Oryzias latipes: one gene and its partner. The protein of the gene in region 2 binds, or shares a complex with, the protein of the main gene of each other region. Links are inferred from orthologs where the notes say so. Each region holds a gene or a part of one and is shown on either strand. Other genes may lie near its edges. The genes, in order: ap1s1 and ap1g1.

The links.
Region 1: the proteins of ap1g1 (region 2) and ap1s1 are in contact, whole or in part, in a crystal structure (PDB 1W63), measured with the Mus musculus proteins. The link is inferred for Oryzias latipes from reciprocal best matches to the Homo sapiens genes AP1G1 and AP1S1. Residues at the interface, in NP_001288140.1 of Mus musculus: Leu7, Arg8, Ile11, Arg12, Arg15, Leu54, Tyr55, His57, Met58, Gly60, Tyr61, Lys78, Phe79, Thr80, Arg83, Ile84, Leu87, Met90, Leu91, Asp94, Glu95, Thr115, Phe117, Leu123, Cys124, Gly127, Cys128, Tyr152, Lys155, Lys156; in NP_031483.1 of Mus musculus: Met1, Leu14, Arg15, Leu16, Gln17, Lys18, Trp19, Leu21, Ala22, Thr23, Asp25, Arg28, Lys29, Arg42, Lys45, Met46, Cys47, Ser48, Phe49, Glu51, Lys56, Gln74, Asp75, Asn76, Glu77, Leu78, Ile79, Leu81, Glu82, Leu83.

Annotation. Positions count from the first base shown.
Region 1 is NC_019876.2:26,354,646-26,359,081, forward strand, and holds the start of ap1s1 (AP-1 complex subunit sigma-1A), read right to left. Parts: upstream 3,015-4,436; 5' UTR 2,813-3,014; coding exon 2,810-2,812; intron 1-2,809. UniProt on the Homo sapiens protein: Subunit of clathrin-associated adaptor protein complex 1 that plays a role in protein sorting in the late-Golgi/trans-Golgi network (TGN) and/or endosomes.
Region 2 is NC_019861.2:21,105,484-21,109,302, forward strand, and holds part of ap1g1 (AP-1 complex subunit gamma-1), read right to left. Parts: intron 3,069-3,819; coding exon 2,992-3,068; intron 1,865-2,991; coding exon 1,856-1,864; intron 458-1,855; coding exon 362-457; intron 251-361; coding exon 170-250; intron 97-169; coding exon 1-96. UniProt on the Homo sapiens protein: Subunit of clathrin-associated adaptor protein complex 1 that plays a role in protein sorting in the late-Golgi/trans-Golgi network (TGN) and/or endosomes.

The DNA of each region.
Region 1 (4,436 bases), on a different chromosome or scaffold from region 2:
AGTTGTGGGCAGGAGTGTTGGCGTGGAGTACGCCTACCTTCCTTTCCCATCATCCCTTTTGGTAACACTCTATACCGCTAGCTTTCAGCCCCATCATGCCCCCCGCCTAAACAAAAATGGCGAGCAATCTTGGAGCTTTCCAGCCGTACATCTTAGATCCAGATTCCAGCTCAGACCAGGAAAACAAAGACGTTCTTGGATCTATGTTTCTGACAGTGGATGCATCAGAATGGAGCGGAGCAGGAAGACTGTGGGCGGTCCAGCGTATTTTCTGCTTCACAAATACATTTTTATTCCAACTGAATATTTTCTTCTGCTCCTGATTCACAGTGATTTGAATAAAGAAATACTCCAAAATTGCATTTTTTTTTTATCCATGTCCTCCATCTTCAAGTCTTTCATGCCGCTCAATTCTGTAGCAGCGATTCTTTTTCGTGAATGATTCTCATCTGTTCAGAACACCTTTTCTTGTTTTTGAGCGACGCATTTTAAGCTCACAGGTAGGCCTGCACAATATACCGCAAATTTATCGTTATCGCAATTTCAAGCTGTGCAATATGCATATCGCAAAAGACAGCAAATTTGCAATAAATGGTTACCTTAGATGTGGCCAAACAATCTTATGGCAGCTTGACGTGTTTAATGGATTGAAAGAATCCCTTTCTGCATTTGACCAATCAGATGGACCCCTTCACGTTGTTAACTAATCGGATGGCGCCCTATTATGTTGTATGTTCGCCTCCTACGTCAACAAGGGTCATTTGTAGTATAATTTTTAAGCTGTTGTAATGGAATGGGAATAATATTTTTGGTTGTTTTGCTAATTGTTTAAATACCGCAAATTATATCGTTATCGCAATATTAATTACTAATATCGCATATCGCGAGTTTTTCTTCATATCGTGCAGCCCTACTTACAGGAAACGTAGTTGAGTGCAAATAACAATCATGTGATTCTAAATGCTAAGCTTCCATAAAAGACCTTCAATGGTTGCTCCCAACATTTTCCAAAAGGAGGAACAGATCAGCTGTGAATCTGTCAGACAGACGAGAAGAACCAGGACATTTGAGAGTTTCAAGAACTCCTTTAAAGCCTGAAAATATGACCACACGCCACAAAACTCCCAGGTGCCCCAGAACTGTCATGATAAATCAAATTTTCTATCAAGGTTCAAAAGACCTACTTAATGTGGTTTTCGCTTGAACTTCAAAGTTTCATAAAATAGAGCTAAGTTGATGTAGAGTGTGCCTGTTAAGGACTTCATTTGCATAAGGTTTCACTGAAATCAGCAGGAAATGCCACCTCAGTCTGGGTTATGTGCTCTATAAATAACATATGAAGCTACAATGAAGTTAAATTTAGCGTCTGAACCGGGCAGCTTCACTCAGAGGTTTTCAGAGCTGAATGAGGTCTAACTCATTTTTAAAGCCCTTAGGAGAGGAGACATTCAACCGGACTCTTTTTTTAGAAAGTGTATTTACAAGAGTCCTTCACAGAAATCAGGATTGAACGTGGTTTTTATTTATGTAGAACAGCTCCAGATTTATCAGTGCTCGTGTCACCAGAGGGATCCTGTCAATGATCTCGGACTTCAGTGACCCAAACGCTCATGTGACCACAGGCGTCGAAAAAGCAGCAATCTTTTATTTGTTGAAGGTGGAGATTGAAGTCGATTCTTTTGAGCCGGATTGAAGCCCGGTGCTTGTTGCAGACACATCTTTTGTTCCTATAGTCTCATTTTTCAAATGGGCAGATTAAAATAAAAAAAATATAAAAACAAAACCCTAAAAGCTTTCATTTCCCCATGCTTCCTCTTCCTCAGTACTGCAGTGTTATCAGGAGCACAGCTCACGGGTAACCGAAAACCCACGAAAACAGCGGCACACCAGCATGTGCACAAGTGGATGTCAACTATATGGTGCCCAGCAGGGAGACAAGACTAGAAGATTGCACACCTTGAGTGTTGCTGGTGAGCAGCACATGAGCCAGATGCTGCAAAGCTGCAACATCTGGTGTTCACTCAACAACAAACCAGCCCATATCATCACACTTCACCTCCATGCTTGGCGTGAAGAGTTTGTGCCAATGTCTTTCTAGTTTACAAACATTCTTTGCGCCCAATAAACCAACAGGCCTCAGAATGGCCCAAGTGTACAGCGTTTCCTCACTTATCGTAGGTGTTACGTTAAAAAAAAAATAGGCCGAATCCACAAATAATTACAGACGTTTAAGGCCGTAAAACTCATCGTTGCACATTTTATACACATTTCTCCAACAGACATGAACCTTTTCACACTTTTCTCTTGTTTAAACTCTGAGTTCAAACCGTCATATAAAAGTAACTCAAGTATTATAGAATGAAAGCAAAGATGATGACACGTCATCAAAGTCAACACTAATTAATTTCTCCATTAAAAACTATTTCATAGTTAATGGATGCAGAGCCCTCACCAATTCTATTTGATTTAAGATCAACAATTCAAAGGTGATATCCCGCCTGATGATGGGTCCAGGTGGTATACCTCACCTGGCCACCTCATCATGTCCGGGAGGGACGACGCTCTGCGCCGCCAGCTACACCTGGCTGGACTAAATCTGCACCCTAAAGCTCTGTGGATCTCAAACTACCAACACCTGTCCTACTTTTCCAGGCACGTGTGGATCAGGACGGTCGAAGCAGCCCCCCGGGCTGCGGCCTGGCCTTCAGGCAGGTAAACGGAGCGCAGGTGAGCATTTCCTGGAACAGTACACCTTGCTTTTGCTAGCATCATTAGCACAGCTGGCTCTAGAGTGGCGGCGGTCGCTTACCATTCTCTGCCGGCTATGGAGCACTCTTCCGGGCACACGGACGAACTCTGCAACGACGCAGACACGGCGGACGCTAAAGGTCCATGTCTGAGCTCTTCGAACCGGACCGAAAAACAGCTGCAGAGCCGCGATACGGACCGACGGTTTCAACCGCAGCCCTGCAACGGGTCCGGGTAGCCGAGCACTTCCGCCTAAGACCGAGCATGCGCACTACACATCCGCGTATGCTAGTCTATGACGTTGAGGACATTAAGTAAAAACTTTTAAATATTTGAAAATAAATAAATGTAAACATTGTCAAATAAATGTAAGACAATAAATGACATTTTAAAGTAAAATCAAACCATAAAAAAATGTATTTATTTATGCATGCATTGTGTGTGTGTTTGTGTATGACTGTATGAATGCATGTATGCATATATGCATGTATGTATGTATGACTGAATGAATAAAGGAACGGACGAATTAACGGACGGACGAACGAAGGAACGAGCAGGGAGCTGGTGGCCCACCAGCATATTTTCTATGTCACAAATGCAATCTTTTTCAAAGAGAATTATCTCATCTGCTCCTGATTCACAACGACTTGAATAAAGTAATCCTCATAAACACATTTTAAGTTTAAATTTCTTCATATATGTCCTTCATCATCAGAAAAATGCCACAAGAACGTGTTAAAGACACCAAAACACAATTTTCATCAGAGTGGGTCTTTAGTGTTTGCAAGTGACTCCCCAACATTTAGTGTTGGGGAGTCACTTGTTCCATTTTAGCCTTTTCAAATGTTTTTACTGAAGCTGCTCTCAGCTGCTAGAGTTCAAATATCATCCTTAGTTAAAATAATAAATATGCAGACACTGCAACTCCATCCATTCATTTTCTTAACCAGCTTAATTATTTTTTTTAAGGTTACAGGGTTGCTGGAGCCTATCCCAGCCATTGTCATACTACACATGAGCATCACAAGAACACGCTGAACGCGGGTTATTGAACGCATGGTGTACACACTGATCTGTCGCTACCCGATACTAGCGCATGTTCTCACAGTTAGAGGAGGCTTGGCGTGAAATGCCAAAGTGATGCAAATCTCATGAATCTCGCTTCCGACTTTTTCTTTCACAGCTCTATTCCGATACATAAAAGACTTGGCGTCATAGAATTCCAGCCGGAACCACATTTTTTCATTTCTCCTCCACGATCCACGTTCAAACGATTGGCACTTCTGTGAATGAAGGGGGACGGGATCCAAATATTTCTTCCAAATCCAAGTACCTGATTGGTCAATGTTCAGTAGGTTTTACTTTTAATGGCCGTGCGTTTTATGCGTGGAGCTCGAAAACTGGCATGAAAACTTCTGTTGCATCACATGAATGCTTAAGATTTGAAGCCTGAATCACACTTATACTTGTGTTTACATCGACTTCTCAATAAAAGTTGTTGCTTGCTTAAACACATCAGGCAAAGGCGCGGTTCACCCTGTACAGTTCATCTATTCGTCCCAGGTATGCAGAAGCAAAAAGTCAGATTTAAATCTAAATAACGGTACTTGTTTATAATCCTTCCATTAGTTCTCCCCTGAACCTGAAAACAGCGACTGTAGCTTTGGAGCAAACCTGCACCACAACAA
Region 2 (3,819 bases):
CAGCCCACTTTCTGATTTGATATCCATTATAGTCAGGACAGTCTCATAGAGGATTGCATTGCCTACATTTTTACTTGTCTCTGTGTTTGTTGCCACCTGCCAGAACACGGCTCTGTTAGAATGAGGACTTTTTTCATCCAAACATATTATTCACTGGTTTTATCCAAACCTGTGCAAGAATGTCATTCATCGCTTCACTTGAGTCGTCGTCACCTTTGCCTAAAATTCGCAGTAGTCTCAATATCCGCACCTAGAAACCAAAACAGCCTTAATTAAGTCAAAGGAAGAATGAATATACTTCTTAAAATTGTTCAGCACAAACATTAGGTCTTTATTTACAGCTTTTAATGTGCGTTACTACCTGCAGGAAGGGGTCACTTATGCCTGACACGTCATGCTCTGGAGAGTATCCAGACATTATTAGGTTCTTCAGGATTCTCACCAACTGTGGAACCAGCTAGAAAAACACCAACAACACAAGAGAAAGAACAGATGTCACAATATTCTGCGTCAAACACCTAATGAGCTCTCTGTCTTATCATGACTAATATTAGTTGCTATTTTACCATAACAAATTAAAAGTAAATTTAACTCATAAGGGCAAATTCAGGTGGGGGAAGGGAAAAGGCATGTGCTCCACTAAACTGATATAATGCAGTTGGAAAAAATAAAATCAGGTAATTCAGTGAAGTTAAGAAAATTATAGCCTTGATTTTACAAAATAGTAGGTTAGAACATTTAGATTTGAGACCTTCCCTTAAATAAAACAATTTTAAACAAAGATGTTTGCAAGTGGGATTTCTAATCGTCAGGAATTAAAAAAGAAAAAAAATGAACACGATTTTTTTATGTGGTGGGGGAATATCCATCCAAAACAGCTTTAGTTTTTATCTTACAGTTCACCTTTTGCAGTTTTACAGATTTTTTTGCACGATTTCTCTTTTACATCACATTGTGTTTTGCATCCTGATTGGCTGTAGACCTTGCCAATCAATCTCTTGTGTGTCGTAACTCAGAATGCATTCAGCTTGCAACGAAGAGCTTTGTTTTCATTCTAAAGTACTGCACTTATTTTTCTACAAATGTTTGACCCTTTGAGCGTTTAATCACGAGAAAAGTGGGAAAGGGATAATATTGGTCTGAGAAAAGTTATCACAGGTTATTTTTAACTGCAGTGATTAACGGGGGACCACTGTAAATCCTTTTTAGTCTAACTGTGCCTTCAAGAAAAGAGCAAAATGTCAATATTAAATTTGCAGAACGCTAACATTTTCTAAAAGAGATGAAAGACAAATATAGCAAACAGCAGGTAACTGAGCTATAGCTAGATGCCGCTCAAAACTAATTTAAAAAACATTCAAATAACATTCAATTACTGTAAAAAAAAAAAAAAAGAAAAATGTTTTTTTAGTTTTAGTTGCCTGGGTTTGGCCGACAGTACATATGGCTGAATAAAGCTTTAAAGTTGTGCACGGTTTTGACTAAAAAAATATTTAACTTTGATTCCAAATATGGCAAAAATACGGAGAGAAAAATCCATTTCCACAAACACCTGTACCTATAATGTAAAAACAAACCCACAACGCTAAATTTCAATACAGCGACTAAACAAATTTAGCATTAAGCGAAAAACAAAAAAGTGAACAATGCATCCAACAAATGGACAGAAACTGATCAAATTGAAGACACTTACATAGTAATGATCACTGTACATGTTAATTAAACAAAAACTTTAAAAATTAAAAGGAGGAAATGACAATACTCAAAAGAAATGTTGTTACATCTGGACTGTGACTGTGAGGGGTGATTACTAAAAATAACATGCACCAGCTATGAGATCAGAATATACTCTTACCTTCTCATTCTAACACAATGCAGGAATTGTAACAAAGACAAATGACAGAAAAAATATGAAGTAGATGTTAGGGAGGGGAAACTGGAAATCATTTATTTTCAGATTTTAAAATAATGTTTAGATCATGAGTATGATAAATGGAGCTTTTGGCAGGTACAGGTACAGCAGCAATTGAGGAAAAACAGAGGAAGAGACAGTCGAAGGAGATAAAAGACTAACATGTTCTGAATGCAGAGGTTACCTCTGGTGCAGTCCATCCCCTAAGCTTTACTTTGTGTTTGTCAAACTAAACTAACAAAATGTGTAACCAAAGAGAGAATGAAATGTGATATGAGCTTTTGACAAATACTTTAAGACAGGGCTATTCAATTACACATTTTTTTAAACTTTACATTTGGGGGGGGGGGGGGGGGGGGGGGGGGCACAAATTCTCAATGGATGGAAAAATAAGGTTAGTGCCATGAGTCCAGTAGACTCATTTCTGTGACTTCTCTAAAACCCTCTGAAAACAAAATTACTTTTAAAATGAATCAAAAAAATAAGTAAAAAGGGATGCTTATCAGCCAAGTTTGGCACAAAACAACAGATATTTTATTGTTTGTACATTAAGATGCAAATATAGGCTAATACAGTATCATTACAAATGGGAATTGTTGTTGATTCCTTTTATGTACAAATAGCTCATGGTCTGGTGAAGCACTTCTCAACTGCACATGGTGTTGACATTTGGTAGTGCTGGATTCTGGGGACTGGCACTCTGGCACTTTAACAAAGCTTTATTACAGCTTTAAATGTTTTTAGTAAACATTATACTTTTTTGTGCCACTTTTATTTTACAGAGTTAACTAGGGAAGAGCTTTCCCTTGTTTTTGTGACTGACAAATGTTGGGCAATAGCTTTTTTTTTACTTACTCTTAATTAATATAAAAAGGAACCCTAGGTTACTCAATGTGTTAAATTCATGGGATAAACAGGTGTGAGGATTACTTAAAAAAAAGCATTACTTTTTTATAACTAGCACTGTGTGATTCTGCCCTGGGCCCATCAGAAGTTGCTCTTAGCAGATGTGGACCACAGGGCACCATTTGAATAGCCCTGCTTTAAGTTTTTAAATGAGAAAATCTGAAAATGTGTACCTTTCTGAAATGGGCCAGCATGTCAGGACTTCTTTCACACATCTCAGTGAGGAGAACGACTGACGTGTGGAGAACACCTGGGTGAAAAGATAGAAATCATCCGTACCATAAGAAAGCATTTCCAGTTCTCTAAATGCCCCAGTTTGCAGCTTGATTTGTTTTTATTCCCTTTTCTGTAAAACTACATTAAGAAAGAACCAAAGTATCAAAACTGGATTTTCTTTACTTGTTCATTTGGTCAACATTGGAAAAAAAAAAAGATTCATGTTTGCACTGCAAAACAGTCAATTAAATACAAGTCAAGCCATTCAAACAGTTTAAAAAGCACAGACTACATGTTTTTACAGGGAATCCTGAGTCTTTTTGTAAGCTGTGGTTCTGCAAAAGTATATTTCTAAATCTCACACCATATGGTCTCTTCCTGTGAAAGGATCCTGATTAATGAGTCATTCACAAACATCACATTCGCATTTACAGCTGTACTTACTAAGGTGAATTATCAAAAAGTTGAACTGTTTGGGTAATAATAAAACATCTCTTACTTGTATAAAACAGTTCTAGCTGCCATATTCCAACTGAAGGATATGCAGTGATTGACCATCAACTGCTCCCTATTTAAGGATAATTTACATAGTGACTAAAGTTTTTTTTTTGGTAAACATAGATTAAATTCCCAAAGCAGCTGGACTAAGAACAAACCTGCACTCTAACCTGTGACCTGCTGATTATCAGCCATGTGCAGCGCCCTCTAGGCTTTGCAGTATGCAAACAGAAGTTGACTGAGTAAATCTTAGATTCTGGGATCCTTATGCTGGAATTTGTGTTTAA